Arabidopsis thaliana: one gene and its partner. The protein of the gene in region 1 interacts with the protein of each later gene in a biochemical or structural test. Each region holds a gene or a part of one and is shown on either strand. Other genes may lie near its edges. The genes, in order: CML37 and PEN3.

Evidence for each region.
Region 2: the proteins of CML37 (region 1) and PEN3 form a complex in vitro, tested with the Arabidopsis thaliana proteins (one study listed by BioGRID).

Annotation. Positions count from the first base shown.
Region 1 is NC_003076.8:16,938,040-16,952,673, forward strand, and holds CML37 (calmodulin like 37), read right to left. Parts: upstream 5,782-14,634; 5' UTR 5,277-5,781; coding exon 4,719-5,276; 3' UTR 4,408-4,718; downstream 1-4,407. Other genes in the region: AT5G42370 (Calcineurin-like metallo-phosphoesterase superfamily protein), read right to left, coding at 1,290-1,372, 1,460-1,655, 1,875-2,180, 2,267-2,374, 2,486-2,626, 2,721-3,131, 3,308-3,424; SPP (Insulinase (Peptidase family M16) family protein), read left to right, coding at 7,269-7,468, 7,589-7,793, 7,880-8,124, 8,294-8,492, 8,811-8,858, 9,000-9,107, 9,218-9,406, 9,493-9,792 and 16 more. UniProt on the Arabidopsis thaliana protein: Potential calcium sensor that binds calcium in vitro.
Region 2 is NC_003070.9:22,032,702-22,051,304, forward strand, and holds PEN3 (ABC-2 and Plant PDR ABC-type transporter family protein), read left to right. Parts: upstream 1-1,721; 5' UTR 1,722-1,959; coding exon 1,960-2,797; intron 2,798-2,879; coding exon 2,880-3,010; intron 3,011-3,286; coding exon 3,287-4,549; intron 4,550-4,635; coding exon 4,636-4,792; intron 4,793-4,871; coding exon 4,872-4,976; intron 4,977-5,055; coding exon 5,056-5,201; intron 5,202-5,285; coding exon 5,286-6,127; intron 6,128-6,215; coding exon 6,216-7,143; 3' UTR 7,144-7,425; downstream 7,426-18,603. Other genes in the region: AT1G59865 (uncharacterized protein), read right to left, coding at 299-596; AT1G59885 (uncharacterized protein), read left to right, coding at 9,607-9,897, 10,016-10,114; SNL5 (SIN3-like 5), read left to right, coding at 11,625-11,698, 12,275-12,433, 12,523-12,703, 12,769-12,867, 12,986-13,153, 13,438-13,540, 13,801-14,018, 14,117-14,271 and 10 more. UniProt on the Arabidopsis thaliana protein: Together with ABCG37, regulates auxin homeostasis and responses by playing a dual role in coumarin (e.g. esculin) and in the auxin precursor indole 3-butyric acid (IBA) efflux transport, thus influencing cotyledons, roots and root hairs development.

The DNA of each region.
Region 1 (14,634 bases):
TAAGAAGACCATCATTTTCCACAGATAATCAACCTGCAAATGCAAATCAATCAAAGCTTCTTCAAGTTGTATACAATCTCATGAGGCTTGCGATGATCAAAAAGCATTATAGTGAGATCCGCTTATTCTACCAACCACTCGATTAAAGATTAAACATGTAAAAAGCCTAACTCCAAAATTCCAACGAAGTAACTCAAAGAAGCCTACAAAATTAAGTTTCACAATCAAACTACAAGACGCGTCTGCAATTTCACACAATGGACGAAATTCAACAAATTCGAAGAACAATTTCACTCACATTGAGCATATCACCCAGAAGTTTCGAAAAGAGATTCATCCATCGACAGAGTTGCTTTCCCAAATCCAGAGCATCTTCCCCAGAAATCACCGAAGAAGATGAAATAATTGAGACCTCGGAGACCTAAGATTGACGCATCGATTTCCCACTTTTCCCTTTTTTATTTTATTTTAAATAGATCATACTGCAGAAAGCGGAAGCTAAAAAAATAAATAAAAAACAAAAAAAAAATAAATGGAAATTAAGCTGACTCAATTATGGGTCAATTGCAAGAATATCGCTTTTTCAATAAAATAGTAAAAAATTAACCTCATATTACTAATTAACATCAGATTTGGGAAGTATAGTGGATCCTATCGGTAACATACAGCTGTTCAAATCTTAACTGTTAACGGTGATAAAAACTTTTTCGGAATACTGCAAAGTTGTAAAAAAATAGTTGTACGAGAAAGCTATATAGTAATAAAGCTGAGAGTAAAACTTTTTGTAACGCTTTAAAAAAGCTTTTGTAATTAACAGAAATAAAAGCGGTACAAATTGTAATACTTTGTTTTTGTTCACCAATCAAAGCCAATATACTTTGTTTTTGTTCACCAATCAAAGCTAGTATCCGTTTTGAGATCATTACTGAAATTATAAAAACTTTAATTTGTTTAATTTATTACAAATAGACAGTGAAAACCTTCATATGTAATAAACGATAAACCTTGGTTTACAATAATAAAAGAAAAAAGAAACTGGAAACTATAATGCTATTGCATGTAGTCTAGAATTTAACTTGTGTTCACAAACATTCTCTTTCAAAGAAGTTTAATTAATAACAGCTCAAGCTTAGAATTCCCATCACAAGATCAAAATCCATGTGTTCAACAATTTTTAACATTATAAGCTACATCCGAATTGTAATCCCTGAATAATCCAACTAATACAGATTATAAGTCATAAAGACACTTTTGTTGGACCAAAAAAAGTTGATTAATGTCATCAACAATCAATCGACCTTGCATTTATAAACGCATGCTGTTATGGCCAATACAGCTCCAATGATAAGTCCTAATATCGCCATTGCCAAGACTGTCGAACCCAATCAAACAACGTATATATCAGTACTCCGCAACATTCTTTCATCATGACCAACCACAGTGAGGAAGAATGACATACCAGCAATGGTGAAGTAGATGAGAACTGCCAATCGGTATCTGGTCGTTCCTGGTAATTCAATTTCGAGTGTGCAATATCGTTGAGACTTTCCCTTAGTTGTTGTATCTTTTAAAGAATTCGAGCCTCCTGGTTGGAGTTCAGATAATGAAACATTCGTGCCTAGTACAGTGTCTCCGTTAACATCTCTGATCTCGAGCTTTATGGTAACCGGATTTGCATTCCAATCTATCGATATTGCTCCAAAATTTTGTTGTCCTGCACGTAAGTTTAAGATATTGTAACCAATGTAATCATACAAAAGAGTACATCGCTGCTCTGTTAAATCAACTCACAACAGTTACAGTCTACTATATTCCGTCCTAGGTTAGTGACAGTAGAGCTATAGAGCTAAAGTTGGAACTTAAAGTAGACTCACTGTGTCTTGGCTTGTCAATAAATCTTTCCACAGTTTATCAGAAGAAAACGTAAAAGGAATCAAATTGAGAATAATACCGTATGTGCAAGATTTGAATTTGCAGTTATCATTGATAACTCTCATCGTGCTTGGAGTATACCAAAAAAGAAGCCTAACTATGGAACGCAAGGGACGAGGGACAACTTTCTCAACAGATTGTACTAGACCACTGGAGGTGACATCATATAATGGGTACCCAACAGAACAATCATATCTCGTGATTTCTCCAAAATGTACATCTCCACTGATGAATATAACTCCATCTCTCTGTAATGTCAAAGCAACGAAGAATTATGGGGACGAGGAAAGAAGAAAACTGACAGTTGGAAACATTACTGTCAACAATCCCATACCTTAGTATCTGCTATCAGTTTAAAAAGACGTTTCCTTTCCTTTGGAAAACGACCCCATGATTCCATATAAAAGAGAGGTCCAGTGGTAGCAGAAAGATTTGATATCACCTGGACAAGTTAAGAGACAACAGTTCTAGATGGAATAAGACACTCAGGCTTCATCAAGTTTAAGTCCATGGCCAAACTGGAACAGGACACAAAAGTCTAATTTGCAGATACCTGAACAGAGGATCCTATGATAGTGATTTCGCTTCGGGGACCGCTCAATTCATTTTCGAGCCAGTCCCACTGCGTATCACCCAATATGCTCCCGTCACTTCTTAAAGGGTCTCTATGATATCTAGTATCTAAAACTATAACCTGAAGGAGATACACAACTGTGTTAAATCACATATAAGCTCTTCATTCTAAACTTAACAAAACTACCAAAGAAGACAAGAGTTTCTGTTAATACCTTAACTTTCCGATTAGGCGGACCATAAGTATAAGAAGCATAAACACCAGCTTGCTTTCTCCTAGGACTATCAAGAGGCTCATTCAAGAAATCAAGCATAAGTTTTTGGTTAATGACTTTACGATCAAACTCTTTTCCAGCGTCATTCAATCCGTAATCATGATCATCCCATGTACCAATAACCTTAGCTTTTCTCTGAATACGAGAATATCCAGGATTAGCTTTGGCTTTAGCGTATCTTAGTTTCATTTCTTCCTCTGAAGAAGGTACAAACCTCGGTGAATTCCTCCATGGCCCAAAAGTTCTCTCTTTCCCAATGACTGTAAGTGGTCTTCTTATATCTCCGTAGATGTTATCACCCAACCAAATAAACAGTTGCGGATCAAACTTGTTTATCGCATCCCATATCGGCTAAAATGTAACAAAAATACAATGTTTAACATAGTATGCAACACAAGCTTATATCATCTAAGAGAACATCGGCTAATTAAACAAAAACCATAATCAGCTCACTTAAACACCAGCCAAACAGAGCAGTCTTAAAACACTGAATCCAGAGCCAAGTAGGGGTTGTACGATTGATTTACCTGTGGAGCACTTTGATTAGCGCATGATCCGAAGGCTATACGAGTGATAGGAGTCTCTTCTGCAGCAATCACCACCGTAAGGAGTAAAGAAAGGCACCAGAAAGAGATTTGGTTCATGACGATGTGGTGAATCGAAGAGAAAACCCTAGAAGCAACCGTGGAAAGAGGAATCTTCAAGTTTTCATTAAAAGATCCACAAGTTTTGGCTCGCCGCAGATTCGGTTCCGGCGATTTTCAGTTACCGTTGGGATTTTGATAGACAGAGACTGTAACTTTTTCTACTTTCTTCTCGTGGCTTTGATTTTTAATAGCTTTACTTTTTCTTTTCTTCAGATGAAATTTCTATTGCCTGGTTTTATGAATCTTTTTTCTGGGTTCCAAACAAAAAGTGAATTTGTGAAATATCCGTATTATTTATAATTATGGAATGACCATTGAATTTTTTTGTAGATTTGTTTAACATATGCAATGATTTTTTAAATATGAATATTAATTACTTGAGAAACAAATATCTACTACATATTAAAAATGAATTTGTATTTTCCCCTTTGAATAGAAATCAAATTCACTATATGTGGCAAATAGATTAATTCATTTTGATTTGTATTACATAATTTAAATTGTTTATCTACTACTATGTGATGATAAATCCATTTAATATGTGTTCTTCTATGAAAACTTTATCCGACCAAAAAAATAATTTTATGAAAATTTTATTCCAATTTTCTAGATTGTATAAAATTTCCCCGGAACCATGCAAATTCAGAATTTTTTACACTAGAGACTTCTACGGATGGCAAAATTGTGAAGTGTAATATTGTTTTAGACATTAAGAAACAAGTTTCGAAGCGGATCGTTTTAGTTAAAAGGTTTACAAACAATATTATCTCTTATTGAATAGAAAAAGTGAATTGGTGCAATAATTATGTATCTGTTTGTAACTGTAATTATAGAAACATCCAATAATGTGAATCAATATCATTGTTCTAGCATAATAAAACTGTAGATTTACAAACGTCAAACGATATGAAATGTTTTACCGACCTCTACCAAAAAATGAGTGATGTGAGAATATACGCGCGTTATCGGTTGTTTCTCACTCACCTAGTGACATTGGTCGAGCGGCAAATGGTGGTGATGACTGGCCTCTTTTACGACTCGCAGTTTTAGATTTTAGTCCCCTTAATTGGGTATTCTCAGTTATGGGGAGACATATAAACACATTTTGTATGTTTTGACAAATTCAGAATATCAAAACAAGACACGTTTATTATGAAGTGTGTTAAATAATACAAATAGATTAGATGAGACACAAATATACAAAGGAATAAGAATCTCTCACAAAAATAATAATTGAATGAATAAAATTTTGAGGAGGGAAGGAAGATGTCCCAATCCCATATATATCATCTCAACGCATCATCAAAACAAACTCGTCAAAGCTGAGAACTCCATCGTCATTCTGATCAAACCCACGAATCATAACCTTACAAGCATCAACCGTACACGACTCGCCGAGTCGACTCAACGTCCTCCGTAAACTCGCCGCCGTAATAAACTCTTCCCCCTCCATAACATACATCCCAAACGCTTCTTTCAACTCCTTCCTCCTTTCTTCATCACTACCATCTTCCCCTTCCATAAGCTTCAAAAACTCCTCAAAATCTATAAACCCGTCTCCGTCAACGTCTGATGTCTTCACCACTTCCTCCACCTCACGTGACGATAACGCGCCGCCTAAGAGACTAACGCAGCTTTGTAGCTCTTCACCGGAGATTTTCCCGTCTGAGTTTGCATCCATATAGTCAAAAACGGTTCTTAGCTCGTTAACGTTTAACGAGCTGCTTCCGCTACTATTACTGCTCGTTCTTGATTCGTCTTCAAGGTTTCTTGACGATTCTGATCTCTTCGAGGAAACTTTCTTGTATAGTCGTGACAATGATGATTTTTGGTTCTTAGCGAGAGTCATTTCTTGATTTGAATATGAATCTAGAAGATTTGGGAAATGGATTTCTGATGCAAATTCTTTTCAAGAAGTGGTAGATTATATATAGATGAGTATGTGAATGCGTGTAATGGTGGAGAGATTCTTGATTGTTCGACGGTTAAAACACGGGTTTGAATATTTTGGTGTTATTATTTAAAGCTAGAGGCGGTTGCGCGGCGGTGGCCGGGAAGTTTCCTCCGCAATGAGTGTTTGTGGGGAAAGGTCAAGTTGACCACGACTAGGGGTGTTTTCGTAATAATGTGATGGTAAGTTTTTCTCACGTATTGTGTGAAATGTGATGTCATATCGACGACTAGATTAAGAAAAGTAGCAAACCTTCTCTTTGACTTTGATTGAGTATACGATGTGCGGACACGTGGTTTTGGTCTTTTAAATTGTTAAACTGTCATGAAGTTTCATATAACCGTCCAGATATGCTCCACGAAAGTGGTATGACTTCCTCTGTTCCTAGAAACTTGAATTAAAAATAAAATATTTCATGTGATGAAGTTTCATCTAACTGTTACATTCCCGGTCCTGAATTCCCTTTCCATAAGAAAATATATTTCTATATGGACCAAAAGAGAGTTTTATTTTTATCTTTTTGCATCTCAAATGCCAACTTCATGTAAAAGCTTTTACTGATGTATAGTTCGGCTTTCTAAGCTCGACGGTTTAACTCGGCCCAGCATATATTGTTCAAACAATTCAGTTATTCTTTGAAACTTCTCCCCGTAATTATCGAGCTCAAAGATTATTTAACAAAAACATCTCTGTTTCCCCCCATAAAATCTCCTTATAAATACTTAATTTGATCCTAATATCAACAAAATGTTAGACTTTAATCTATATCTTCAATTCTTGATGAAATGAATTTCCATGATGCGGTGCTGGCATATCGTGACCTTACTTAATTCACATTAATTAAACTTTCTGAGCAAATAGTTTAAATTGTTGGTATCAAATCTCACAAATAAACTTACTATGAAAAACTCATGATCGCCAAAGTGAAAATAGTATAGAAAGCCTAGTTTAGAGTGACAAACACTTGAAATCCTAAACAATCGATCTTGTAACCACTATTGCACATCACCACAAAACACACATTATCTGACGAAAGCTAATCACATTCAAATGATTAAACCAAAATAACAGAATCTAAACATTAATTAACTTAATATTCGAGATACAACGAGACCTATACGAGTTTGAATGAAAGACAATTTTCTTGTCTACTATATGTACAAGAAAAAATAGAGATCATACAAATAGCTTTTCTTCTAACTATCGAAATCAATATTCTTATAATTAGGCATGAATCCTTTAAAAATTTAGGGGTCATGTAACACTTAACATAAGCAAATATATGAATGCATAAAATTATTAACTTTTCGATCATTTTTTTAAAAAATTATAATTTTCGCAACGTATTTAAACCAAATTTCACAAAATTACATCAATTTTTTTTTTAGATTGCTATCTAAGCCCTTAACCGAAATACCTAAACCTAATTGAACCGATCAGTTCAAAGTTGCCAGCAGATAAACAATGTTTTCATGTCCGACTCATACTCCATAGTCGAACGATTAACCCAAGAAACATATTTCCAGTGAAGGTTTAGTCTTAAATCTACCAATATAACCAGAAAAATCCAGAAAAAACTTGCCATTAACTACCGCATGATCAACCGGTTAAAACTTCTGGGTGAAAATCTTTCCAAAATATTGAGATTTTGACTTCAAACCCTTTGCTACAAATAGAAGGTTTGATTTTGGAATTAAAATATATAGTTTGTATTAAAAAAGAAAGAAACATTAATATACTCATATAAAAAGAGTTTAACAAAATAAAAATCAGGAAGGAGAAGACAATAAACGTAGCTAACCTCATCTCCCTCTTCTTTTTTTTTTGTTCTTTAATAGTTTCCGTCTCTCTTTTTCTCCTCCACCTCTCCTTTGTCCTCAATAGCCGACGATGGCTTCATCGTCCTCTTCCATTTTCACCGGTGTTAAGTTCTCTCCGATCTTAGCTCCCTTTAACTCCGGAGATAGCCGCCGCTCTCGATATCTAAAAGATAGCCGGAATAAAGTTAGGTTTAATCCATCGTCGCCGCGTCTCACTCCTCATCGTGTTCGCGTCGAAGCTCCGTCTTTAATTCCCTATAATGGTCTTTGGTACGTATCAGTTTTCAGCTTCGTGTTCATGGAAACTGAAATTAGTTCTTGGTTCAAAATTTTGTTGAGTTCAGTTAAATCGATTTGTTAAATTTTGTGTTGAATTTTGTGGTGTTAAAGGGCGGCGCAGCCAAATTCGCATAAGGGACGTTTAAAGAGGAACATTGTTTCGGGAAAAGAAGCTACCGGGATATCACTTTCTCAAGGACGTAATTTCTGTCTTACTTGTAAAAGGAATCAAGCTGGAATCAGAAGAGCATTACCTAGTGCCTTTGTGGATAGAACTGCATTTAGTTTGTCGAGGTCGAGTTTGACATCTTCTCTGGTAAGTAAGCTACATCATTTACTTTCTATGTTCTTGTCTTGTGCTTGTTTGGATTTATCTCTGTTTAACTGACTCAACATGTGCAGAGGAAACATTCTCAGATTGTGAATGCAACTCTTGGACCAGATGAGCCACATGCTGCTGGTACAGCTTGGCCTGATGGTATTGTTGCGGAGAGACAAGATCTCGACTTATTGCCTCCTGAGATTGATAGTGCAGAGCTAGAAGCGTTTCTTGGTTGTGAACTTCCTTCTCATCCAAAGTTGCACCGGGGTCAATTGAAAAATGGGCTTCGATATCTTATTTTGCCAAACAAAGTTCCACCGAACAGGTAAATTGAGTAGAATGCTCGAAGTTGGTCTACTTGTGATACTCTTAATGACAATATATCATTCCTTGAAAACCAGTAAGCAAAATGGTTATAGCTTAACCATATGGTGGAATCCTTTAAGGTCTTCCTGCTATATCTTATTTGAGTTTGGAAATGTTTTCAATGCTAGATTTGAGGCACACATGGAAGTTCATGTAGGATCGATTGATGAGGAAGAAGATGAGCAAGGGATTGCTCATATGATAGAACATGTTGCTTTCCTTGGGAGCAAGAAACGTGAGAAACTTCTTGGTACAGGTGCCCGCTCTAATGCCTACACCGATTTCCACCATACAGTATTTCATATTCATTCTCCAACCCACACGAAGGTTTGTTCTCTTCTACACCTATTGGCGTATTTAGTGATGTATCTTTTTCTTGGTTAGTTCAATTCACAGGTTTTTATTGCCTCGTATTTACTTTAACAAATATGGTGCTTATAGTCTATATCTATATGTTGCACATGGAGTATTATGTGTCTTATGAGCAAAAATACTAGGTTTAGTGTTGATCTTTATTTGTTTATAGACCTTAAAGTCTGTTGATTGGTTGGCTTATTGTGATAATTTCGATAACATGTCCTTACTGGCTTGCTAAATGATAGAGTTGGCTAGCTTCATATTAATTATAGTTCTCAACCTTTTCAGGACTCTGAGGATGACCTCTTCCCATCTGTGCTCGATGCCTTAAATGAGGTATAATTTTGCAATTAAGACGATGTCTTCCAATTAGATATGCCCCGAGGTTTTTTCTGTACCATGAGTCAAAATCCCTCTTATGTTTCATGGATTATGATTCATTTGGCAGACAAATTCTTATTTCTCAAATGATTACAGATAGCCTTTCACCCAAAATTTCTCTCTTCTCGAGTTGAGAAAGAAAGGCGGGCCATACTTTCAGAACTTCAGATGATGAATACAATTGAGTATCGTGTTGACTGCCAGGTAATCAATCATGAGGAATAGTTTTCTGTATGTCAGCACAACAGCCTTTTGTGTTGCCCAATTTTTGGTGGATAGCCAATGACACATTGTACTTTATTTGGTGAGACTAGTTGTTGCAACATCTACATTCTGAGAACAAGCTGGGTAGGAGGTTCCCTATTGGATTGGAAGAGCAGATTAAGAAGTGGGATGTTGACAAAATTAGAAAATTTCATGAGCGATGGTACTTCCCAGCCAATGCCACTCTATATATTGTGGGAGATATTGACAACATACCTCGGATAGTCCACAATATTGAAGTAAGATAGTCTCTTACCTTTCTCTGACATTTCTTTTGAATTTCTACTGCGTAGTCTATCTTGACCAGACAATCATTCTTCCACAGGCTGTGTTTGGAAAAAATGGTTTGGATAATGAATCAACACCCAGTTCTCCTAGTCCTGGTGCCTTCGGTGCCATGGCTAATTTTCTCGTTCCAAAGCTGCCAGCTGGTCTTGGTGGTACCTTTTCAAATGAGAAAACAAATACTGCTGATCAGTCTAAGATGATTAAAAGAGAAAGACATGCAATTCGTCCCCCGGTTGAGCATAATTGGTCGCTTCCTGGAACAAGTGTTGATCTAAAGCCTCCACAGATATTTAAGCACGAGCTTCTTCAGAATTTTGCAATCAACATGTTTTGCAAGGTTCTTGTTACAATCTTTTAATTCTTCCCTTTTTCAGAAAGCTTCATATGATACATGCAACATAGGGTGGTAGTTTATATTATGAAATGTTTACAATTTCCTTTGTCTTCCTGCAGATACCTGTTAGCAAGGTTCAGACATTTGGAGACCTGCGAAATGTTCTGATGAAAAGAATATTTCTCTCTGCTCTACATTTTCGAATTAATACGAGATACAAGGTATGAGGGTGTTAGGATGTCGTCTTTCCGAATACATTTGTTCTCAATTTTACTCAAGAAGAGAAAATTTGTTCTCATTTTCTTGCACAGTACATTTTGCTTTTATAGATTAATGAATCTCAAATCTCAGTGAAATTACAAAAACGGCTCTTTGATGGGTTTGTTCAAATAATATAACTGTGTTTTCAATAATCTCGAGGTGCACTATCTGAGTAAAAACTCTTTTTCAGTTCATGGACGTAGCTATATTATATTGAAGGTTTTAGGAATTATGTCTATTATAACTAGACTCAATACTGTCAGTGAATTTTGATGATGTTATTTTTGTACCTTTCAGAGTTCAAACCCACCATTTACGTCTGTTGAACTGGACCATAGTGATTCGGGAAGGGAAGGATGCACTGTTACGACTCTTACTGTCACCGCAGAGCCCCAAAATTGGCAAAATGCAGTCAAAGTTGCTGTCCAAGAGGTTTGCTTATTGTTTCTTCTCATTTATCTTCATTGTAAATACTATTTTTCTCTCTTTCGTTGGATTGATCATTTGGACGTGATGAATAATGGATTGGTTAAGCTAAAAGACTGTTAGAGCCATTGACACTTTTTCTTTACTGCTGAGAATTTATTCAGCTTTAACGTATAATTCTACGTGCAGGTTCGAAGACTTAAAGAATTTGGTGTCACCAGGGGTGAACTTACACGTTACATGGATGCTCTTCTAAAAGATAGTGAACATCTTGCAGCTATGATAGATAATGTGTCTTCTGTTGATAACCTGGATTTTATCATGGAAAGTGATGCACTAAGCCACACGGTTATGGATCAGACGCAAGGACATGAGACCTTGGTTGCTGTAGCTGGAACTGTTACTCTTGAAGAGGTAGGTTTCACAGTTCCGCAGTTCCGCTTTTCTTGTTGAATGTGACGCGAAAGATAACTGTTGATTTCAAAATTCTCGGTGATTAACAAAACGCACATCAAGTCATCAATAACAACCGGATTCTTAACACTTCCTGCATATCATACTATTTCAATATTTATATTTGAGTTGGTTGCTTTTCTTCTGTTTTGATAATTCCTTGTCCAGGTAAACACTGTTGGCGCCAAGGTGCTAGAATTTATTTCTGATTTCGGAAGACCCACTGCCCCTCTTCCCGCAGCAATAGTTGCTTGTGTTCCCACTAAGGTGCATGTTGATGGGGTTGGTGAGAGTGATTTCAATATATCTCCTGATGAAATAATAGAGTCTGTCAAATCAGGATTATTAGCACCCATTGAAGCTGAGCCTGAGGTGTTCTTTCTTTTGTAACTCTATCTTCGCTTTATTCAAGTATAAACCAAAGGCTAGTTCTGAATCAGCTTTTTGCCTTCATCCTTGCAGCTCGAGGTGCCAAAAGAATTGATCTCTCAATCACAATTGAAAGAGTTAACCTTGCAGAGAAATCCATGTTTTGTCCCTATTCCTGGGTCAGGTTTAACCAAATTGCATGACAAAGAGACTGGGATCACTCAGCTTCGGTTATCCAATGGGATAGCTGTAAATTACAAGGTACGTCTTTCATCTTTTTGCTCTTCCTTACTATGTAAGGATCTCCGTAGTGATTTTCTTTCTACATTATTAGACATATTCCTCAATATTTATATTGTTGTTTGCTGTCTACTTATCAAATTGCAGTTCTTAACAACTTAAGAAAATATGCTTCGTTCTAGCAGAAAACATTTTATTTGGTGTTGATTGATACTTCAGTTTTTACTGTACCATCTTGTATGGAGAAATAAAGACCCTTCCCTTGACATTTCCCTTTTCAATATAGAAATCTACGACCGAATCCCGGGCAGGTGTCATGCGGCTCATTGTTGGTGGTGGACGAGCTGCTGAAACATCTGATTCCAAAGGAGCTGTGGTTGTTGGTGTTCGTACACTCAGCGAGGGTGGTCGAGTTGGAGACTTTTCAAGGGAGCAGGCAAGTGAAGCTGTTGAAAACTGTATTGTGATTTTTAATCTAAAACTAAAAAAGGATATGAACTAATCTGAAAGCCATTTAAATTCCGTTTAGGTGGAGCTGTTCTGTGTAAATCATTTGATAAACTGTTCGTTGGAGTCAACTGAGGAGTTCATTGCCATGGAATTCCGGTTTACTCTGAGAGACAATGGAATGCAAGCGGCTTTTCAGCTGCTTCACATGGTGCTTGAGGTATTAGATTATAACAAATAAGATATAGAATGCTGTGCAACATTTCAGACTCTTGATCTATTGATTTGCTGGTCAATAATGTTTTCTTTTACCTGCTTGTTCGTTTTCCTTTATTTATTTTTTTATTTTTTTCTCTAATCTTTTGCTGAGAAAGAGTGGTGGTTCTCTGGTATGCAGCGTAGTGTCTGGTTGGAAGATGCATTTGATCGAGCAAGGCAGCTATATCTTTCGTATTTTCGATCAATTCCTAAAAGCTTGGAGCGTGCGACTGCTCATAAACTTATGATCGCTATGCTGAACGGTGATGAGCGTTTTGTTGAGCCGACACCTAAGTCACTACAGAGCTTGAATCTAGAATCTGTGAAAGATGCGGTCATGAGTCATTTTGTTGGGGACAATATGGAGGTGAGATCTCCAACTTAAAAGCTGATGTTTGCTTGACTTATATTAATTTTATTTGATTTTCATAAAAGTTTCTCTGGTTTCCTTCAGGTAAGCATTGTGGGGGACTTTTCAGAGGAGGAAATCGAGCGTTGCATCCTTGATTACCTTGGTACAGTTAAAGCTAGCCATGATTCTGCAAAACCACCAGGATCTGAGCCTATCTTGTTTCGCCAACCTACAGCTGGCTTGCAATTTCAACAGGTTCGGAACAAAGCAGTAAATGCATGGAATTTCTTGTTCCTCTCTTTGGTTTCCCCATCCCCTTAGATATGTGATTCAAGCAGGATATATTGACATCTTTATCTCTGGATAGGTATTCTTGAAGGATACTGATGAGAGAGCATGTGCATACATTGCGGGACCAGCGCCAAATCGATGGGGCTTTACAGTTGACGGGGATGACCTTTTTCAGTCTGTTAGCAAACTTCCTGTTGCTCATGGTAAGTTACACCTTAACGGAACAGACTTAAAATTAGGAGTCATATGATGTCGTGGTTTTCAACCTCGTGGAAACTGTGTATAGGTCTGGTTCTGAGCTTGTCTCATAAACCAGATATTTATCTTCAGTAGTAGTAATGAAGTTTAGTGTTAGCTCTGACATAAAGTAGCTTATAACATTTCATGCATGCACACTGAAATTGCAGATGGACTTTTGAAATCGGAGGAACAATTGCTAGAGGGAGGAGACAGGGAGTTGCAAAAGAAGCTTCGTGCCCACCCTCTTTTCTTTGGAGTTACAATGGGTCTTCTGGCCGAAATCATAAACTCAAGGTACACTTACTGTGTACTGGTGTCATATTATTCGAAAGCAGAGTTCTTTTTTCTGCTGCTATAGTACTCTCTGGTTTGGTTCATGTCCAGAATTTGTTGAGGAACTAACTGCCAGAATGAAGCACTGCTTAGAAAATGAACGTCATCGTGTGTCAACAAACGTTTGAATTTTAAGAGAATGCCTTTTTAGACCTCTGATTGTATTTTTGCTTCAGACCGGAGCCTGTCTACTTGCTATCTACCTATTATTTTACATGTATATATATATATTCTGCCACCCATGGCTGAATTTATTTTTTTGCGTCATTGCAGGCTTTTCACGACAGTAAGAGATTCTCTTGGACTGACATATGACGTATCATTTGAGCTAAACCTATTTGATAGGCTGAATCTCGGGTGGTATGTGATATCTGTGACTTCAACTCCCGGCAAGGTATGCAGTCTTTGTATTTTGCTTACAGTAAATGTGCTGCTCTTTCATTAACAGTTTTCTTCACCAAGTTTCTCAATACTCTTTCCAGGTATACAAAGCGGTTGATGCCTGTAAGAGTGTTCTTAGAGGTTTGCATAGCAACCAAATTGCCCCTAGGGAGTTGGATAGGGTTAGTTGTCTCTTTTGCCTCTCAGCTTAGCTCTTTTTAGCTCCTTCTCTTTGTTAATGGAAAGTAGTGTTGTTTGTAAAATCGACAGGCAAAGCGAACTCTTCTAATGAGACATGAAGCTGAACTCAAGTCCAATGCCTATTGGCTTAATCTATTAGCTCACTTGCAGGCCTCCTCTGTTCCGAGGAAGGTAATACTCACTTGTGTATTCCTAAATGTTTCATTTCTGACTTGACTTCTTCTGATGGGGTGGTTTTGGTTGTTTTAGGAACTGTCATGCATTAAAGAACTTGTTTCATTGTATGAAGCTGCTTCGATCGAGGACATATACCTAGCTTATAATCAATTAAGAGTGGACGAGGACTCTCTGTACTCCTGTATTGGTATTGCTGGGGCACAGGCGGGTGAAGAGATTACTGGTAAGTGTGACGTCTTTTGAGCAAAAACAGTTTGAGATCAGTTGGGTATTAAATTACAAAAACTGTGTGATGCAGTTCTCTCAGAAGAGGAAGAACCAGAAGATGTTTTCTCAGGAGTTGTTCCTGTGGGACGAGGCTCATCGATGACCACAAGACCAACAACCTGATCGACATATATGGTTTGTAAGATAAT
Region 2 (18,603 bases), on another chromosome or scaffold:
AAAAGCAACAAAGCTATGGAAAGCTTAACTTTGGATTTGCAAGTTAAGTATTTTTAAAGCAAGGGAAGCATTGGAGAAGATCTTGTTGATATGTCAACCATAGCTTGAACATTGTGGAGCCCAAATGAAAAGGTATAAGTTGGCTGCAAAAGATACAAATGAAAACTGTGGAAAAATTCTTGAAGACTGAGATAAGTACACACTCAAAATGAGTTTTTCAATTCTAAGACTATGTGGGAACAGCGAGAACTTCAGTTGTGTGGAAAATTGGGAACTTGGCAAAGTGAATTTGTCTGACCTTCAGGAAAATGAGAAGAAGAAGAAGCATGTATGAAAAATACACTTAAGGAACTTGAGGAGAAGAGTGAGGATTTGTAGGAAAGAGTTGGAGAAGCGGAGACTGGAAGCATGAAAGTCGAGGCAAAGAAGGTTGCTTTAGAAAACAGAAAGCTCAGAGCAATGAAGGTTTTTTCTCTTGAAAAACTCGATAACTTGTCAAAGGTATATGAAAGCTTGGTGGATACAAGTGAAGCGTTTTTAAAGCAAGGCAAGGATTGGAGAAGGTCTTGTTGATATGTCAACCATAGCTTGAACATTGTGGAGCCCAAATTAAAAGTTATAAGTTGGCTGCAAAATATACAAGTGAAAAGTAAGGAAAAATTCTTGAAGACTGAGATAAGTAAACACCCAAAATGAGTTTGTCCATTCTAAGACTGTGTAGAGACAGCGAGAACTTCATTTGCGCGGAAAAGTCGGGAACTTGGCAAGGTAAATGAGAATAAACTGAAGGAACTTGAGGAGAAGAATGAGGATCTGTAGGAAAGAGTTAGAGAAGCAGAAACTGGAAGCATGAAATTTAAAGGAAGCTTGTTGGTCAACGAAGTCAAGCCAAAGAACATTGCTTTAGAAAACTCAGAGCAATGTAGGTTTGTTCTCTTGAAAAAATCGATGAGTCGTCCTCAAAGGTAAATGAAAACTTGGAGTATAAACTGCAGACTGAAGAAGACCGAGAGCTTAATTGACAAAGAAACCAACCTATAGAGCATTACTAAAGAAGCTGAGAAGAGCTCAGGAAAATGAAATTTGCTGGCTGAAGGAATGAATTAGACATTGGTTAATACACAAAATGCAGAGCACTAATCAAAGATTAGTTGAGAAAATAGCCAAACGCAGAGTTTAAGAGGAAGTCAATGGAGTCTTCTTATCATAACAACATTGAGGAGTTGTCACTAAAACTTCTTATTCCGGGTATTTAAATGGCTTCTTCCTCCGCAACTTCTCACTTTCCAGAACACAAAGACTTATAAACAAACCATCCTTCACGTATGTGTTGAATTGAAATGTGAATGTGACTTCATCAACACAATGACTTCAAAACCCAACGACGGTCTTCCTTTCTTTTCTCACCAATAAAATGTAGAAAAGAAACAAAGTACACAAGAAAGACTTTTCATTTAACGATATCTCCACTAGTAGTAGCTATAACTAAATGGGGTCATCGTTATTGACTTTGAATAAGAAATGTTCAAACACTTCAATTATTACATAATATCTTTGCAATAAAATAACAAACGTTAAAGAGCCGTCGCATTATTAGCACAAAAAATATCTTTTGTAAATAAAAAAACAACGTAAAAGAGCCGTCACATTTGAATAATAAAACCCATCTTGCACATAAAAAACACGACTTTTTATTATTTTTGATTATTTCAACAAAGTATGAATAGTCAACATAAAGAAAAGTCCGCCTTGATGTTCCTTCCTCACTCCCTATTTATCCATTTTCTAATCCCACCCTCTTCTCTTCATTCATCATCTTCCTCCTCTCTCTCTTCTCTGTATCACCCAACTAAATCCTCACGGGATTAGATCCAAAGTCTCAAACTTTGATCCAAAAACACAAACTTTGTTCAAAAGACATAAACTTTGAGCCAAAGTCACAAGCTTTCTTGGTGAACGATGGATTACAATCCAAATCTTCCTCCTTTAGGAGGAGGTGGTGTTAGTATGAGAAGAAGCATAAGTCGAAGTGTAAGCAGAGCAAGTAGGAACATTGAAGATATCTTCTCATCTGGTTCAAGAAGAACACAATCAGTCAACGACGATGAAGAAGCTCTTAAATGGGCTGCCATTGAGAAGCTACCAACTTACAGTCGTCTCCGAACCACTCTCATGAACGCTGTAGTCGAAGACGATGTTTACGGTAACCAGCTCATGAGCAAGGAGGTTGATGTAACCAAGCTTGATGGTGAAGATCGTCAGAAGTTTATTGACATGGTTTTCAAAGTAGCTGAGCAAGATAATGAAAGGATCTTGACTAAGCTAAGAAACAGGATCGATAGAGTTGGTATCAAACTTCCAACTGTTGAAGTCAGGTACGAGCATTTGACGATTAAAGCTGATTGTTACACTGGTAATAGATCTCTTCCTACACTTTTGAATGTTGTGAGGAACATGGGAGAGTCTGCTTTAGGTATGATTGGTATTCAATTTGCTAAGAAAGCTCAGCTTACGATTCTTAAAGATATCTCTGGGGTTATTAAACCTGGAAGGATGACACTTTTGTTGGGTCCTCCTTCTTCTGGTAAGACCACTCTTTTGTTGGCTTTAGCTGGGAAACTTGATAAATCTCTACAAGTCAGTGGTGATATTACTTACAATGGTTACCAACTCGATGAGTTTGTTCCGAGAAAGACCTCTGCTTACATTAGTCAGAACGATCTTCATGTTGGTATCATGACTGTTAAGGAGACTCTTGACTTCTCTGCTAGGTGTCAAGGTGTTGGTACTCGTTATGGTAAGTAAAAGATTCAATCTTTAATCATATCTTTTTTTCAAGATTCAGTTTTGTTGAATGGTTTTGATTCTTGTTGTTGTAGATCTGTTGAATGAGCTTGCGAGGAGAGAAAAGGACGCTGGTATATTCCCGGAAGCCGATGTTGATCTCTTCATGAAAGCTTCTGCTGCTCAAGGTGTTAAGAACAGTCTCGTCACTGATTATACTCTCAAAGTGAGTCCAACTCTCGCCTTAACTTAGCTCATCTTGTTCTTTTTGTTTCAAGAAGAGTGTTTGTTACTAGGCAAGCAACTCATAAAATCGAATCGAACTAAATCGTTTTTTATAAACCGAAACTGAACCGGAATTTATTCATTAACCGTTTGGTTTCATTATTTTAGAATATTGATATAAGTTTTCATATTCTAAAAATGTTCTAGACAATCTTTTCTCATGTTCATAAAGTTTTGAGTCTTTTTTTGTATAATACTAACTTTGGCCGTGTAACAGATTTTGGGGCTTGACATTTGCAAAGACACAATAGTTGGAGATGACATGATGAGAGGTATATCTGGAGGTCAGAAGAAACGTGTCACAACTGGTGAGATGATTGTTGGACCTACTAAGACACTCTTCATGGACGAAATATCCACTGGTCTTGACAGTTCCACTACTTTCCAAATCGTCAAGTGTCTGCAACAAATCGTTCACCTCAATGAAGCCACGGTGCTCATGTCTCTCCTCCAGCCTGCTCCTGAGACTTTTGATTTATTCGATGATATCATCTTGGTGTCGGAAGGTCAGATCGTGTACCAAGGACCGAGAGACAACATTCTTGAGTTCTTTGAGAGCTTTGGGTTCAAGTGTCCTGAGAGAAAAGGAACAGCTGATTTCCTGCAAGAGGTTACTTCCAAGAAAGATCAAGAACAGTACTGGGTGAACCCGAACAGACCTTATCACTACATTCCGGTTTCAGAGTTTGCCAGTAGATACAAGAGTTTCCATGTTGGGACGAAGATGTCTAACGAACTTGCAGTACCGTTCGATAAGTCTCGCGGCCACAAAGCAGCTCTTGTGTTCGATAAGTACTCTGTCTCAAAGAGGGAGCTTCTCAAGAGCTGTTGGGACAAAGAGTGGCTGCTTATGCAGCGAAACGCGTTCTTCTATGTTTTCAAGACTGTCCAGATCGTCATCATTGCTGCAATCACGTCTACACTCTTCCTGAGAACCGAAATGAACACAAGAAACGAGGGTGATGCTAATCTCTACATAGGAGCATTGCTATTTGGAATGATCATCAACATGTTTAATGGGTTTGCGGAGATGGCTATGATGGTTTCAAGACTCCCTGTGTTCTACAAACAGAGGGATCTCTTGTTTTATCCATCCTGGACCTTCTCACTTCCCACTTTCTTGCTTGGGATTCCAAGCTCAATATTAGAATCGACGGCTTGGATGGTGGTGACTTATTACTCCATTGGTTTTGCACCTGACGCCAGCCGCTTCTTCAAGCAGTTTCTTCTGGTGTTTCTGATTCAACAAATGGCTGCATCCCTCTTTAGGTTGATTGCTTCTGTGTGCAGAACCATGATGATTGCTAATACTGGTGGTGCTCTCACTCTACTTCTTGTGTTCTTGCTCGGAGGCTTCCTTCTTCCGAAAGGCAAGATTCCTGACTGGTGGGGTTGGGCTTACTGGGTATCTCCTCTCACCTATGCTTTCAACGGTCTAGTAGTCAATGAAATGTTTGCTCCCAGATGGATGAACAAAATGGTAAGTGGCTTACTTCTTTATTCTGCATTTTACAAACAAATATCATAGTAAAGCCGCCTCTGAGTCATATTTTTTTCAAATTACAGGCTTCTTCTAACAGCACAATAAAGCTTGGAACTATGGTGCTTAATACTTGGGATGTCTACCATCAAAAGAACTGGTACTGGATTTCAGTTGGAGCCTTGCTTTGTTTCACAGCCCTCTTCAACATTCTATTCACCTTGGCACTTACCTATCTCAACCGTAAGTTCTCGTGTTGTATCACCCGTTTTACCAAATCTAAAAACAATAGACTACTAATAATGTACCTTTGAAACTACAGCTCTTGGGAAGAAGGCAGGTTTACTTCCAGAAGAAGAAAATGAAGACGCTGATCAGGGGAAAGATCCAATGCGTAGATCTTTGTCTACTGCAGATGGGAACAGAAGTAAGTAAACACATTTCTTAATCTGCTTAGATGTTTTGCTTTTCTTGTACTCTTGTCTCATTCTGCTCCCTGCTATCAGGAGGAGAGGTCGCAATGGGGAGAATGAGTAGGGACTCTGCGGCTGAAGCATCAGGTGGTGCAGGCAATAAGAAAGGAATGGTTCTTCCTTTCACTCCTTTAGCTATGTCCTTTGACGACGTCAAATACTTTGTTGACATGCCTGGGGTAAGTAACTATCTTCACTTAAAATCTTTACACTAAATTAAATATGAATTACTTAAACTAAATAGATATCTTTTGATGGTATAGGAAATGAGAGACCAAGGAGTTACAGAAACAAGACTCCAACTGCTTAAAGGTGTGACTGGTGCATTTAGGCCAGGAGTTTTGACTGCGCTTATGGGAGTGAGTGGTGCCGGTAAGACTACGCTTATGGACGTTTTGGCCGGAAGGAAAACAGGTGGATACATTGAAGGAGATGTGAGAATATCAGGATTCCCAAAGGTTCAAGAAACATTTGCTAGAATCTCAGGATATTGTGAGCAGACCGATATTCACTCCCCGCAAGTAACAGTCAGAGAATCTCTGATTTTCTCTGCTTTCCTTCGTCTTCCTAAAGAAGTCGGCAAAGATGAAAAAATGATGTTTGTGGATCAAGTGATGGAATTGGTAGAGCTGGACAGTCTTAGGGACTCCATTGTTGGTTTACCGGGTGTCACGGGGCTTTCCACGGAGCAGAGAAAGAGACTGACAATCGCGGTGGAGCTTGTAGCCAACCCTTCCATCATCTTTATGGATGAGCCAACTTCAGGGCTAGACGCTAGAGCAGCGGCTATTGTGATGAGGGCGGTAAGGAACACAGTGGACACTGGAAGAACCGTGGTCTGCACCATTCATCAGCCTAGCATTGATATCTTTGAAGCATTTGATGAATTGATGCTGATGAAGAGAGGAGGACAAGTGATTTACGCGGGTCCATTGGGTCAAAACTCTCACAAGGTGGTTGAGTACTTTGAATCTTTCCCCGGAGTGTCCAAGATTCCAGAAAAGTATAACCCGGCCACTTGGATGCTCGAAGCTAGCTCACTCGCCGCTGAGCTAAAGCTTAGTGTTGACTTTGCTGAGTTATACAATCAATCAGCATTGCACCAGTAAGTTTAAGTTCCTTCTTTTCCATGGCTCATTGCATCTGATTGATTGTTTAAGTAATAGTACTAATGAATACATAACAAAATGCAGGCGAAACAAAGCGTTGGTAAAAGAACTAAGTGTACCACCAGCAGGAGCATCAGATCTTTACTTTGCTACACAATTCTCACAAAACACATGGGGACAGTTCAAATCATGCTTATGGAAACAATGGTGGACGTATTGGAGATCTCCAGACTACAATCTTGTCCGTTTCATCTTCACATTGGCAACATCTCTCTTGATTGGTACAGTCTTCTGGCAAATCGGAGGTAACAGGTCGAACGCAGGGGATCTAACAATGGTGATAGGAGCATTGTATGCCGCGATTATCTTCGTGGGAATCAACAACTGTTCAACAGTACAACCGATGGTTGCAGTGGAAAGAACAGTGTTCTACAGAGAAAGAGCAGCAGGAATGTACTCAGCCATGCCATATGCCATCTCTCAAGTCACTTGTGAGCTTCCCTATGTCCTTATTCAAACCGTTTACTACTCACTCATCGTCTACGCCATGGTTGGTTTCGAATGGAAAGCCGAAAAGTTCTTCTGGTTCGTCTTCGTTAGCTACTTCTCATTCCTCTACTGGACTTACTACGGCATGATGACTGTTTCCCTCACACCAAACCAACAAGTCGCTTCGATTTTCGCCTCAGCGTTTTACGGTATTTTCAACCTCTTCTCTGGTTTCTTCATTCCAAGACCCAAAATCCCAAAATGGTGGATTTGGTACTACTGGATCTGCCCTGTTGCATGGACCGTGTATGGATTGATAGTGTCGCAGTACGGTGATGTGGAGACACGTATCCAAGTCCTTGGTGGTGCTCCTGACTTAACCGTCAAGCAATACATTGAGGACCATTATGGTTTCCAATCTGACTTTATGGGACCAGTGGCGGCTGTACTCATCGCTTTCACCGTCTTCTTCGCCTTCATCTTCGCCTTCTGCATCAGAACTCTCAACTTCCAGACCAGATAAAACCATCTCTCAAACAACAAAGTCTCTTTCTTTTTTTGTATCCTCTGTGTTGTTTATATGCACTATAAGCTTTGTATGTTCTAAATATGTATTGTAGTGTCATAACGAAATTTTTTTGAATATTTTTATTTATTGTCTTATAGATGATGACGAATCGGAATCATGTAATATAATTCCACTTTTTTTTGTGTTTATATCCACAAATCCCTCAAAGTCCATTTTTGTTTGTTTCTTGAGACTTTTTATTTTACGATACTTCCAATAAGAGGAAGAAGACAGAAAAAAAGTGTGATCATATCCATTATCAAAGAAGACAAAATCAATGGAGGATAAGTTAATGTTCTTCATGATTAAATCTTGATAATTGTATAACATGGTTCTGTAAAAATTATCACAACACAACACCAATATCATAAAGTTTAATGAGAAATCTCAATAAATCAGTTTTTCTAAATATAGAAAAGTCTATCTTACAACGACAAAACGATTTTGAATTTTGGATTAAATCACCTAAAATTTCCTTAAATCCTACCAAAAGTCCTCCCAATCAAATTTCCATTTAATCATACCCAAATGTTTAGGCCAATACACCACCCTATATCTTGATCATTGCATAATATGGTTTGGATTCCTAAATTGATCCGTTCAAAATATTTAGACCCTTGTCATCTTATATAGCATATGATATAACCCTTTCTTCTTACTGGGCCTCGATGAATTATTTATGAAACCTGGCCCATTAGGAATTTGAAGAAAAAAATATTTTAGGGGCGTTCCGAGAATTGAACTCGGGACCTCTCGCACCCTAAGCGAGAATCATACCACTAGACCAAACGCCCGTTGTTGAACATATGTTGGATAACAATATATATATATTATTATATAATTTCAATGATTTCTTATTTTGGCCAAATTATTCTAGTTAATGCAAATTTATAATAAAAATATCATCAAAAATATTTATTAGAATATTAAATCGAATCAAATGTAAAACAATGTTAACCATCTGATTTGAACCTACGTTTGTAATTCTCACTCTATATCATCAAAATAACTTTATTTAGATAACACTTCAACTCGTTAATTATCCATTATGTAGATCAAATAACTTAACTATTATATGAAATCATACATGACCAAGTTCTTTTTACACTAGGTCTATATAGAAAACAATGTGAGATTTAGTATTATGCAAAAAATAAATTGAGTCTCTTTATACATCATCAATAGAATAACATCTATATGATAAAAAAAATTGTATGAACATTTACCAATATATTAAATCATCATTGATACGTTAAAAATAATATTAAATTTTGACTTGAACATTCACTTTGACGTCTTACTATTTTAAAATCTCATTAATACTAGTATTTATTTTTGTTATAGAATATCATCAAATGATCTTAATATATAGATAGATGATCAACTCATTATCCATTATGTAAACGAAATAACTTAATCTTCATATAGAAACATACGAGTAAATTTTATTTTTAATTTAACATACATATATGAGAAAGACGTGAGATTGTATATACTGCAAAAAATAAATTGAATCCCTTTGTACATCATCAATAGGATAACAAGTATATGATAATAATTTTGTCGAAATGCTTACCCACATATTAAATCGTCATTGATATGAATAATGTTAATTATTGGATTTTAATATACACTTGGAATTCTTATTATTAGTAGTTAAAAATCCCACTAGCACGGATCTTATTTGTTATACGCAAAATATAGTAAAAAAAGAAGCTACATATTTAGATTCATGTAAAAATAATAACCACATAAGACAAATTTATGTAGTAGAAAAGGTTGAAACAATTTTGTACAACTTTTAAGAATTGTCAATATAAACTAAAGCTTCATATTAGAAAAAATTGTTTTTATTTTCCAAAACAAAACCAAATTTTCATTAGAATATATGCTGTAATTAGAAAGTGTCATTGTATTCTTGCTTTTTCTAATTCAGTCTTCTTATTTTTGCAGGAGTTCACTAACAATAGTGATCACAAATCAACCAACATCAAAATTACACTTATCAAATAGAACATGAATCTAAAAAAAGATAAGAATACTAACAAAATCGAAATAAATGAGAACTAAAGCTCCTCACATCCTTCTTCTCTGCACATGTCAAGAATATGACGTATATTGGCGGTGGCGTTGATACACCAATTTGAAACCAACCCTAAACTTAAAAAAAGTTTAAACGAGATGAACACCTCTCTATTTAGGAGCTCGTTAATATCTTGCTTAGACGTCACATGAGATTGATGGTACATGTCATGGAGTAAAATAAAATCTTCTCTTCTCTGTGTCTCTGATGAGGTCATGGAGTATGGGTAGCTTTATGATAAAATAGGAACTTGTTTCAGAGTATTTAGAAGTAAGTTATTTCTATTTTCTATCATGAAAACATTTCCCAATTTTGAATATCTTTTATATACTCTCATGGCTGTGTTTATCAAGATCATCAAAGGCGTTTTCTTTTTCCCCACCAAAGGCTCCTTCATCACCACCAAAGGTACCATCAAGATCAAATCAAATTCAAATGGTATCAATGGCTCCTTCTTTCACCTCACTACTAATGACTTTTTCTTCTTCACCACCAAAAGCCTCTCCTTGCCTCTCCTTGCCACCAAAAGCCTCTCCTCGGCTCTCCTCGCCACCAAAAGCCTCTCCTTGGCTCTCCTCACCACCAAAGCCGAATCGTTTGCTCTACTTACCACTATCACCAATAAAGTCAGTTATGTGTTTCAAAACAAACGAGGAAGGGGAAATAATAGACTTCTTTGATATATTTATTGACCATTTGGTCTCAAAGAATCATCACATCCTTACCTGAAGAGAGAGCGTGAAGTATGGTTATTGGGTTGAGTTGGCTTTAGAAGCACTGTTTGATATTGAAGTTGAGTTTGAGTCTAGTATGGATGAAGATAAGATGAAAAGTAAAAGTTGATTTTTCAAAATGAAAAGTGCTCCGTTTGGTAATATATATATCTTGGAGAAAGAGATAGTCTATATGGAGCGTGAAGAACTTTTAGAAAACATTTCTTATTTCAATCTTGTGGAGCAAAACAAGAAGAATGGTCTTCCTCCTCCTCAAGAAAGAACATGGAAGTCACTAGAGCATAAAGGAGTCATTCTTCCATTGCCTTACCAAAAACACAACGTTCCCCTTATCTACGATAAAAAACTCTTAAGAATTTCCAATATAAACTAAAACTTCATACTAAAATAAGATTTGTTTTTTCTTTCAAACGTAATAAAGAACACAAATATGTCAAAAAAAAACAATCGTGATATGTTGATAAGAAAATATCAAAACTATGGTAAATTTTAAGATTATTTTTATAGTTTATTTTTTTTTGATAATTTCATAAATTCTCAACTTCATTTTTTCTTTTATTTTCTTCGTTTTAAAATAAATTCTCAGATTTTATTTAGGGCTCAAAAGATCCAAGTATGAGGAGTATTATTTACATAAGTTATATTAAGCGGTTTAGTACGAATTTTTCGTGCCAAATTGTTCGCCTTAACATTTGTATAATTCAAAATACCGAATTAAACCAAATGTTTTTCTGATTCGTTAAGATATTTGTACCAAAAAAAAGAAATAACCATTTTATTTAATAATCACTAAAAAAACATAAGCTTAAACTTATTATTATAAAAAATCTTTAATTAAAAACCTAATCTACTATAAATAGGAAAATTCAATTTTTCTTGACCAAAAGAAAGTATAAAAATACATAAAATGGCAAGAAATCTCATATGTTTTAATCCCGAAAGTATAGGTGATAGGATGATACCCTAATTTTGACTGTAAGAAATTAGGGGAAATCCATTTTGTTACCAAAATCTCTTATCATGTTTCAATTACTTTAAATGCATGAATACATGCCAAAGATTTTGTTATTAACAACACAAACACTTGATTATATATCTCCTTGGTATAATATACAGAACAGACACAATCTTAGGCTCCTCCTTCTCTCGCTCTCTTCCCTCTGTTGCTCGGAAAGCTTTGGCCTTTTTGGTTTTCTTATGGCTAATTCTCTTCTCAAAACTATTCGTATCTGAGAGAGATTGAGATAATAAATATAGAGAGAGATCCAAACCAGAAGCAATCTTTTTTTGTTTGTCTCTCTGTGAAGATTCGTATCATTTTTCTCCGGCAAACTAACGGCGGCGATCCACTCTTCTCTATAGCTTCTATTATGTTGGTTTTATCTTCTTCTTTGGAAGAAATGAACAAGTTTGGTTTTTTCGCTTTCATGAATGTGATCCGGTCTATATAAGGTTTGTATATATAATCAAAATCTAGTTTTTGATTTTTGTTTCGATTTTTTGGCGATAGATCTGGTTTGTGTTTGTTGTTTAAGAGAGAGGGAAGTTTTTGAATTTGTGATTTTAAACTTGGCTTGTTTTCAGGGTACTTAGAGTTTGGTGAAGCTTGAATCTAAGAGATGAAGAGGGTTAGAGAAGAGGTTTACGTTGAACCACAAATGCGAGGACCTACTGTTTCCTCTCGAGGAGAAACGTAAGCTGTCTCTCTCTGTTGTCAATTCAAATCGTATTCGTTTTGAATTGTGTGTTTTTTATAAGGAAGTCAAAAGTGTGTAGGTTGATAGAGATTCTTATTGCTTGTTTTTGCTTGTGGGGATTTGAAATTTTCATGCTTTGGTTTGTTTTCTAGGTTGAGTTTTTATTTTTGAGGTCTATGATTGTTCTTAAGTTAGTTATCCTTATAGGCTAAAACATAATTACTGTATAAGTGTAATGAATTTGATTTTATGACCTAAATGCGTATTAATATATGTTGGAGTAATGCAGAAATGGTAAAGATTGATGGAGGATATATGTATCGAAATTGTGTTATCAAATTTGCAGACTGATAGATATTCTTATTGTCTTTCTCTTCTGTGGGGATTTAAATTTCCATGCTCTGGTTTGTTTTCTAGGTTGAGTTGAGTTTTCTCTTTGAGGTCTATAATTGTTCGTGGTTTAGTTATCCTCCTAGGCTTAAGCAAAATTATTGTAGCTTCGTAGGGGAAAAGGAATTTAATATTTCTACGTAGGTGCGAAAAGCAACTTAATATATGTTCGTGTAATGCAGAAATGGTAGGCCTTCAACGATTAGTGGCGGAGGAACAACGGGAGGGCTAACAACAGTTGATGCTTTGACATATCTTAAAGCTGTGAAGGATATGTTTCAAGACAACAAAGAGAAATATGAGACTTTCCTTGGAGTCATGAAGGACTTCAAAGCTCAGAGGTAAATGTCTTCTTCTCTCCTCCGTTTGCTGTGTGTCTTCTTACAGCTGGAAATGTTCTAAATTTTTTTGCGTCTCATGCTGGTTGTAGAGTTGACACTAATGGCGTCATAGCAAGAGTAAAAGATTTGTTCAAGGGCTATGACGACTTACTTTTGGGTTTTAATACCTTCTTACCTAAGGGGTACAAAATTACCCTTCAGCCTGAGGATGAGAAACCTAAGAAGCCAGTGGATTTCCAAGTAGCTATCGAATTTGTCAACAGGATTAAGGTATGTATCTGATGTATTTATCCAGATACCAAATTTAGTCATGATCTAAACAGTTATTCCTCCAGGCGCGATTTGGAGGTGATGACCGTGCATATAAAAAATTTCTAGACATCTTGAACATGTATAGAAAGGAAACCAAGTCCATCAACGAGGTCTATCAAGAGGTATATTTACAGTAAATGGGTATAGTGTTGATTTGCCTACGATTCTGCCTCACTCTTTTTTCATATATATAGCCAGATTTTCTTGTGATTTGTTTTCTGATGATCATCAATTCTACAGGTTACTCTGTTGTTCCAGGACCATGAAGATCTGCTCGGGGAGTTTGTTCATTTCTTACCAGATTTTCGAGGATCAGTTTCTGTTAATGACCCTCTTTTCCAGAGGAACACAATACCGCGTGATAGAAATTCTACATTTCCTGGCATGCATCCAAAGCATTTTGAGAAGGTTTGCCTTAATTCATTCTTTCTAAAAGATTCACATATCTTTACAACGTAGTTTATGATGTTTCTAATTGATGTTCGTGGTAGAAAGCCTGCATTGTGACCATGCATGCTTTGTATGGAATGTAATAACATCCTTTCCCTAATTGTTCTAAGAGTGATAAATTAAAAGCAAGATATATATAGGAATTAAGATAGTTTACAGAATAGATGAAAGAATATATGTTTAAGGAACTTGATGATTCTGAGTTTGGGTGAGATGTTGATATGGACTCTTTCCTACCACAGAAAATAAAACGGAGTAGGCATGATGAGTATACTGAACTCTCTGATCAACGAGAGGATGGTGATGAGAACCTTGTGGCCTACTCTGCTGGTAATTCTCTGGGAAGTGAGTATTTGAATCACCTGTAGCATTATTTATTTGCATTGTTTAATTATTATTGCTTGGCTCAGCGCCTAGTGAGAGCATGATAATACAAATAGATGTCTTCTATTTTTCAGTGATTTTGATATGAAAGGGAAATTAGTATATATATCTACGTGACATATTGCCATCTTCTATACTGTGGTTATTGTCAATCTTGTCTCTGCTTATCGACTGGTCAGTAGTTACGTGGTGCTAAGGTCCAACTATGTTAATGTTTGCAGAATCCCTTGCTAATCAAGGTCAATGGCCAGGATATCCTAAGGTAGAGGACACCGAGGGGATTCAAATTTATGAAAGTAACGGGGGCCATGAAAGAGATCCAGACATCGGAAGTCAAAAAAATCTACTGTCTACAAACCATATGGCCAAGGCAATAAATGAACTGGATCTTACTGACTGTGCACAATGTACACCAAGTTATCGTCGCTTGCCAGATGATGTGAGCCCTTCTTAAACCTTAATGTTATTATCTACCATACTTCAATATAGCGTTGATTTTGTGCTCTATAATCATACGGTTGGCTTTCTCTTGTGTAGTATCCTATTCAGATTCCAAGCTACAGAAATTCACTTGGTGAAAAGGTGCTTAACGATCATTGGGTATCTGTCACATCGGGGAGTGAGGATTACTCATTCAAACACATGCGCAAAAATCAGTATGAAGAAAGCTTGTTTCGATGTGAGGATGATAGGTAAGACGTATATAGTATATATTAGGTTCCTGTATTTCTTTCTGTATTTAAACTGGAGTCTTTCAATAACATTGGGAGTTCATGATTGTTTTCTATTCAGTTCAGTCTTCCCTTCTAATTTCACTAAGTTGTCTGAAACTTTTGTGGATAATATTGTGGGGTTTCTCTGCTGACAATTGAATTCCCAAAGAAGTTCTACTTCCATCTGATCTATCAACTAACTGATATGGTTTCAGGTTTGAGTTGGACATGTTACTAGAGTCTGTAAGTGCAGCCATCAAGCGTGTGGAAAGTCTTCTGGAAAAGATTAACAACAATACAATCTCTATAGAGACACCAATTTGTATTAGAGAACACTTATCAGGCAAGTAGTTATCTTATCAAATCTGGCTGTGATAAATGTTACTATGTATGTTTATTATTCTTTTACTTTGCCTAATGACCTTATATGTGACTAATTGATAGAGCTGAACCTAAGATGCATTGAGCGGTTGTACGGGGATTATGGGCTTGATGTCATGGATTTTCTGAAGAAGAATTCTCATATCGCCTTACCTGTGATTCTAACACGCTTGAAGCAGAAACAAGAAGAATGGGCTAGGTGTCGCGCTGATTTCAGGAAAGTATGGGCTGAAGTATATGCTAAGAATCATCACAAATCACTCGATCATCGTAGTTTCTATTTCAAGCAGCAGGACTCCAAGAATTTAAGCACAAAAGGTAAGTTTTCTTTCAGGACTACAAGTTCATTTTGTTTTGACTTTGAACCTAATTTAGGTTAAAAACCCATTCATTTCGTTTGGCTACAGTTGAAGCTCCATAGAAGATTTTGTGGATATTTCATATTAGCAATTTCTTTCTCTACAGGGAGAGTTCTTAATATAAAAGCGTCACTGATTGTTAGAAGAAAAAAATGATGAAACAAAGAGAATATCTTGTATCATTTAAGTGCAAGTTTGTGTCGACTAAAGTTGGTTGTTATGTCCCAAATGCAGGTTTAGTGGCGGAGATTAAAGATATCAGTGAGAGAAAGCATAAAGAAGACCTGCTTCGTGCCATTGCTGTTGGAACTAAGCCCTCTTTCACCCCAGATGTGGAGTTCATTTATACTGATACAAAAGTTCATACTGACCTATATAAGCTAATCAAGTATTATTGTGAGGAAATATGTGCTACTGAACAGTCGGATAAAGTAATGAAGCTATGGGTAACCTTTTTGGAGCCCATGTTTGGCGTTCCTTCTAGGTCTGAAACTATTGAGACAATGAAAGATGTTGCAAAGATCGAAGACAACCAAGAGCACCATGATGCAAGTGAGGCAGTGAAGGAAAATACATGTGACGGTTCTATGGCCTCAAACCTTAAACCGTTAACACCTCCAAAAATGCCTAACAAAGAAAACCCAATGATACAAGGAAGCTCTTTTGCGCAAGATTTGCCAGTCAACACAGGAGAAAGCATTCAGCAAGATAAACTGCATGATGTTGCAGCTATAACTAATGAGGTAACCGTATTGTTTCTTCCTGAGTACCTTTGTTCTTGACCTGAGGCCGTATTCACTTTTCACTGAGTAAATATAGTCAAAGGTTCATAAATCTGGACTAGTGGTGGTAGAGCGTATTTTACTGTTGGGCAATAAATGAAAGTTGCTTAAGTTTTCATAATATTCCTGTATGTGAAAAAAGATATTTCCTTGATATTTGTTTTTGTGGTTCTACAGGATAGCCAGCCTTCCAAACTGGTGTCAACCAGAAACGATTTGATAATGGAGGGTGTAGAGAATCGTAGTAGGGTCAGTGATGTATCAATGGGAGGGCATAAGGTCGAGCGAGAAGAGGGTGAATTATCCCCCACTGAAAGTTGCGAGCAAGAAAATTTCGAGGTTTATAAAGAGAATGGGCTCGAGCCTGTGCAGAAACTACCAGATAATGAAATAAGTAATACAGACCGAGAACCCAAAGAGGGTGCATGTGGTACTGAAGCTGTAACAAGGAGCAATGCCCTCCCTGAAGATGATGATAATAAAATAACTCAAAAGTTATCAGAAGGGGATGAAAATGCCTCGAAATTTATTGTCTCAGCAAGCAAGTTTGGTGGCCAAGTTTCTTCCGATGAAGAGCATAAAGGAGCTGAGAGTGAAAATGAGGCTGGAGGGATGGTTAATTCCAACGAGGGTGAAGATGGATCCTTTTTCACATTTTCAGAACGGTATCTGCAACCTGTAAAGCCCCTTGCAAAGCATGTGCCTGGGACACTGCAAGCAAGTGAATGCGACACCCGGAATGATTCTCGAGTTTTCTATGGGAATGATTCACTCTATGTGCTTTTTAGGCTTCATCAAGTAAGTGCTACGAAACAACCTTCTCATGTTCCTCAAATGTCAATTGTCTCAGTCCAAACCGCTAATTCTGCTGATTTTCCAGATGTTGTACGAGAGAATACAATCAGCAAAGATACATTCAGAGAGGAAATGGAAAGCTCCAGATAGCACATCTACTGATTCTTATACCAGGTGGTTTATTTTCTAAGCATCATTGGTACTTTTTAATTGAAAAAATATTATTTCCTAACTGATATTTGAAAGCTTAGGTTCATGGAAGCCCTTTACAATTTACTTGATGGCTCTAGCGACAATACAAAGTTTGAAGATGAATGTCGAGCTATTATCGGAGCACAATCATATGTTCTCTTCACATTGGACAAGCTAGTTCAAAAGTTTGTTAAGCATGTAAGCTTCCATTTTACCTTGTTATCGTCTTGACTCTGCTTCTGTTCTCTCTCCTTTATTTTTGTTTGCTCCGCACTAATCATTTAAGTGGCTTGGACATGCTTCAGCTTCACGCAGTCGCAGCTGATGAGACAGACACCAAGCTTCTGCAGCTATATGCATACGAGAACTACAGAAAACCAGGAAGATTCTTTGATATAGTGTACCATGAGAATGCTCGAGCCCTTCTCCATGATCAGAACATATACAGGATTGAATATGTATGCTTCTCTTGATATGTGTGGATACCTGTTTATATGTTCCCATATACTAATCTGTATTTGCAAATTTCTGTGCAGTCATCTGCCCAAACCCGTCTCGGAATTCAACTTATGAACAGCTGGAATGATCAGCCTGAAGTTACAGCTGTAACAGTGGAACCAGGTTTTGCTAATTATCTGCAGAATGACTTTCTTTCGTTTGTCAGTGATGAAGAGAAACCCGGACTATTTCTGAAAAGGTGAATGAAGCAATGATTAGAGCATAACCTTTTTTCGTCTTCAGTTGTGGTAGTACAGTTAGTAATCACCTTAGCATACTCTTTTCAGGAACAAGGCAAAATTAAGTGGTCCGGGTGAAGAATCTCTAGGGATGTCACGTGCCTTGGAAGGATTGAACATTATCAATGAGGTTGAATGTAAGATAGCTTGCAGTTCTTTCAAGGTAAAATACTTTCTTGTGAATCTCTTGCACTGATAATCTTTTCTCTTTTCACATGTATATATGATTGATGAGAGTTTACAATCTTCATTAGGTCAAGTATGAACCACACACAGCAGATCTTTTATATAGAAGAAAGCAGAAGAAAGCAACACTGAATCCAACTGGACCTGAAAATGTTAAAACCTCTGATAGTAGTGAACTCTCGAGAAAGAAACGAATATCGCGCTTTCACATGAGTCTTAACCGCAGACTTGTCGCCTTGCCTTAACTCAAGAACGCCGTAAGTAACCCTCTTGTCTTTTATTTGCCTGTGGTGATCAATACTGCAAATCATCAATAATCTCTAACTCACGATAAATTGTGCAGGTGTGAAGTTCTTTGCTGAGAATGAGATATGCAAGAATGAGTAGTAGTAGAGAGAGACTAGAGAATAACTGTCTTTGACAAAGATTCTTGCATCATTTTAGGCTCAAAGAGATTCACATGGCAACAACCATAGTTTTTATCTTCTACAGTCTACACTGCAGCTGGAGCCGCCAGTTTTGCTGTATAGTGTTAGAATATCTTTTTTTTTTTTAAGGATGATGCTAAAATTGGATATTTTTAATTCATTCATTGAACAATTATTGAATTTTCCTTCTAATGTTAAATTCTCTTTCAAATTAATAATCTCTTTAATCACATGTTTTATTTATTTATTTTGGTTTATCCATTTGGTTATTTATCTTTAATCACATTTGAGTTTGATTATATAATATGATTTTAAGAGAATATGAATATATATTGACTCTTTTATCACAGGTGTCACGTGACTCACGTGAGGCTGTGTACGGAAAACCTTCTTATCCTCTCAGAGTCTCTTATATTAGGATCGCTATCTACTGCTTCACTGAAATTGTCCT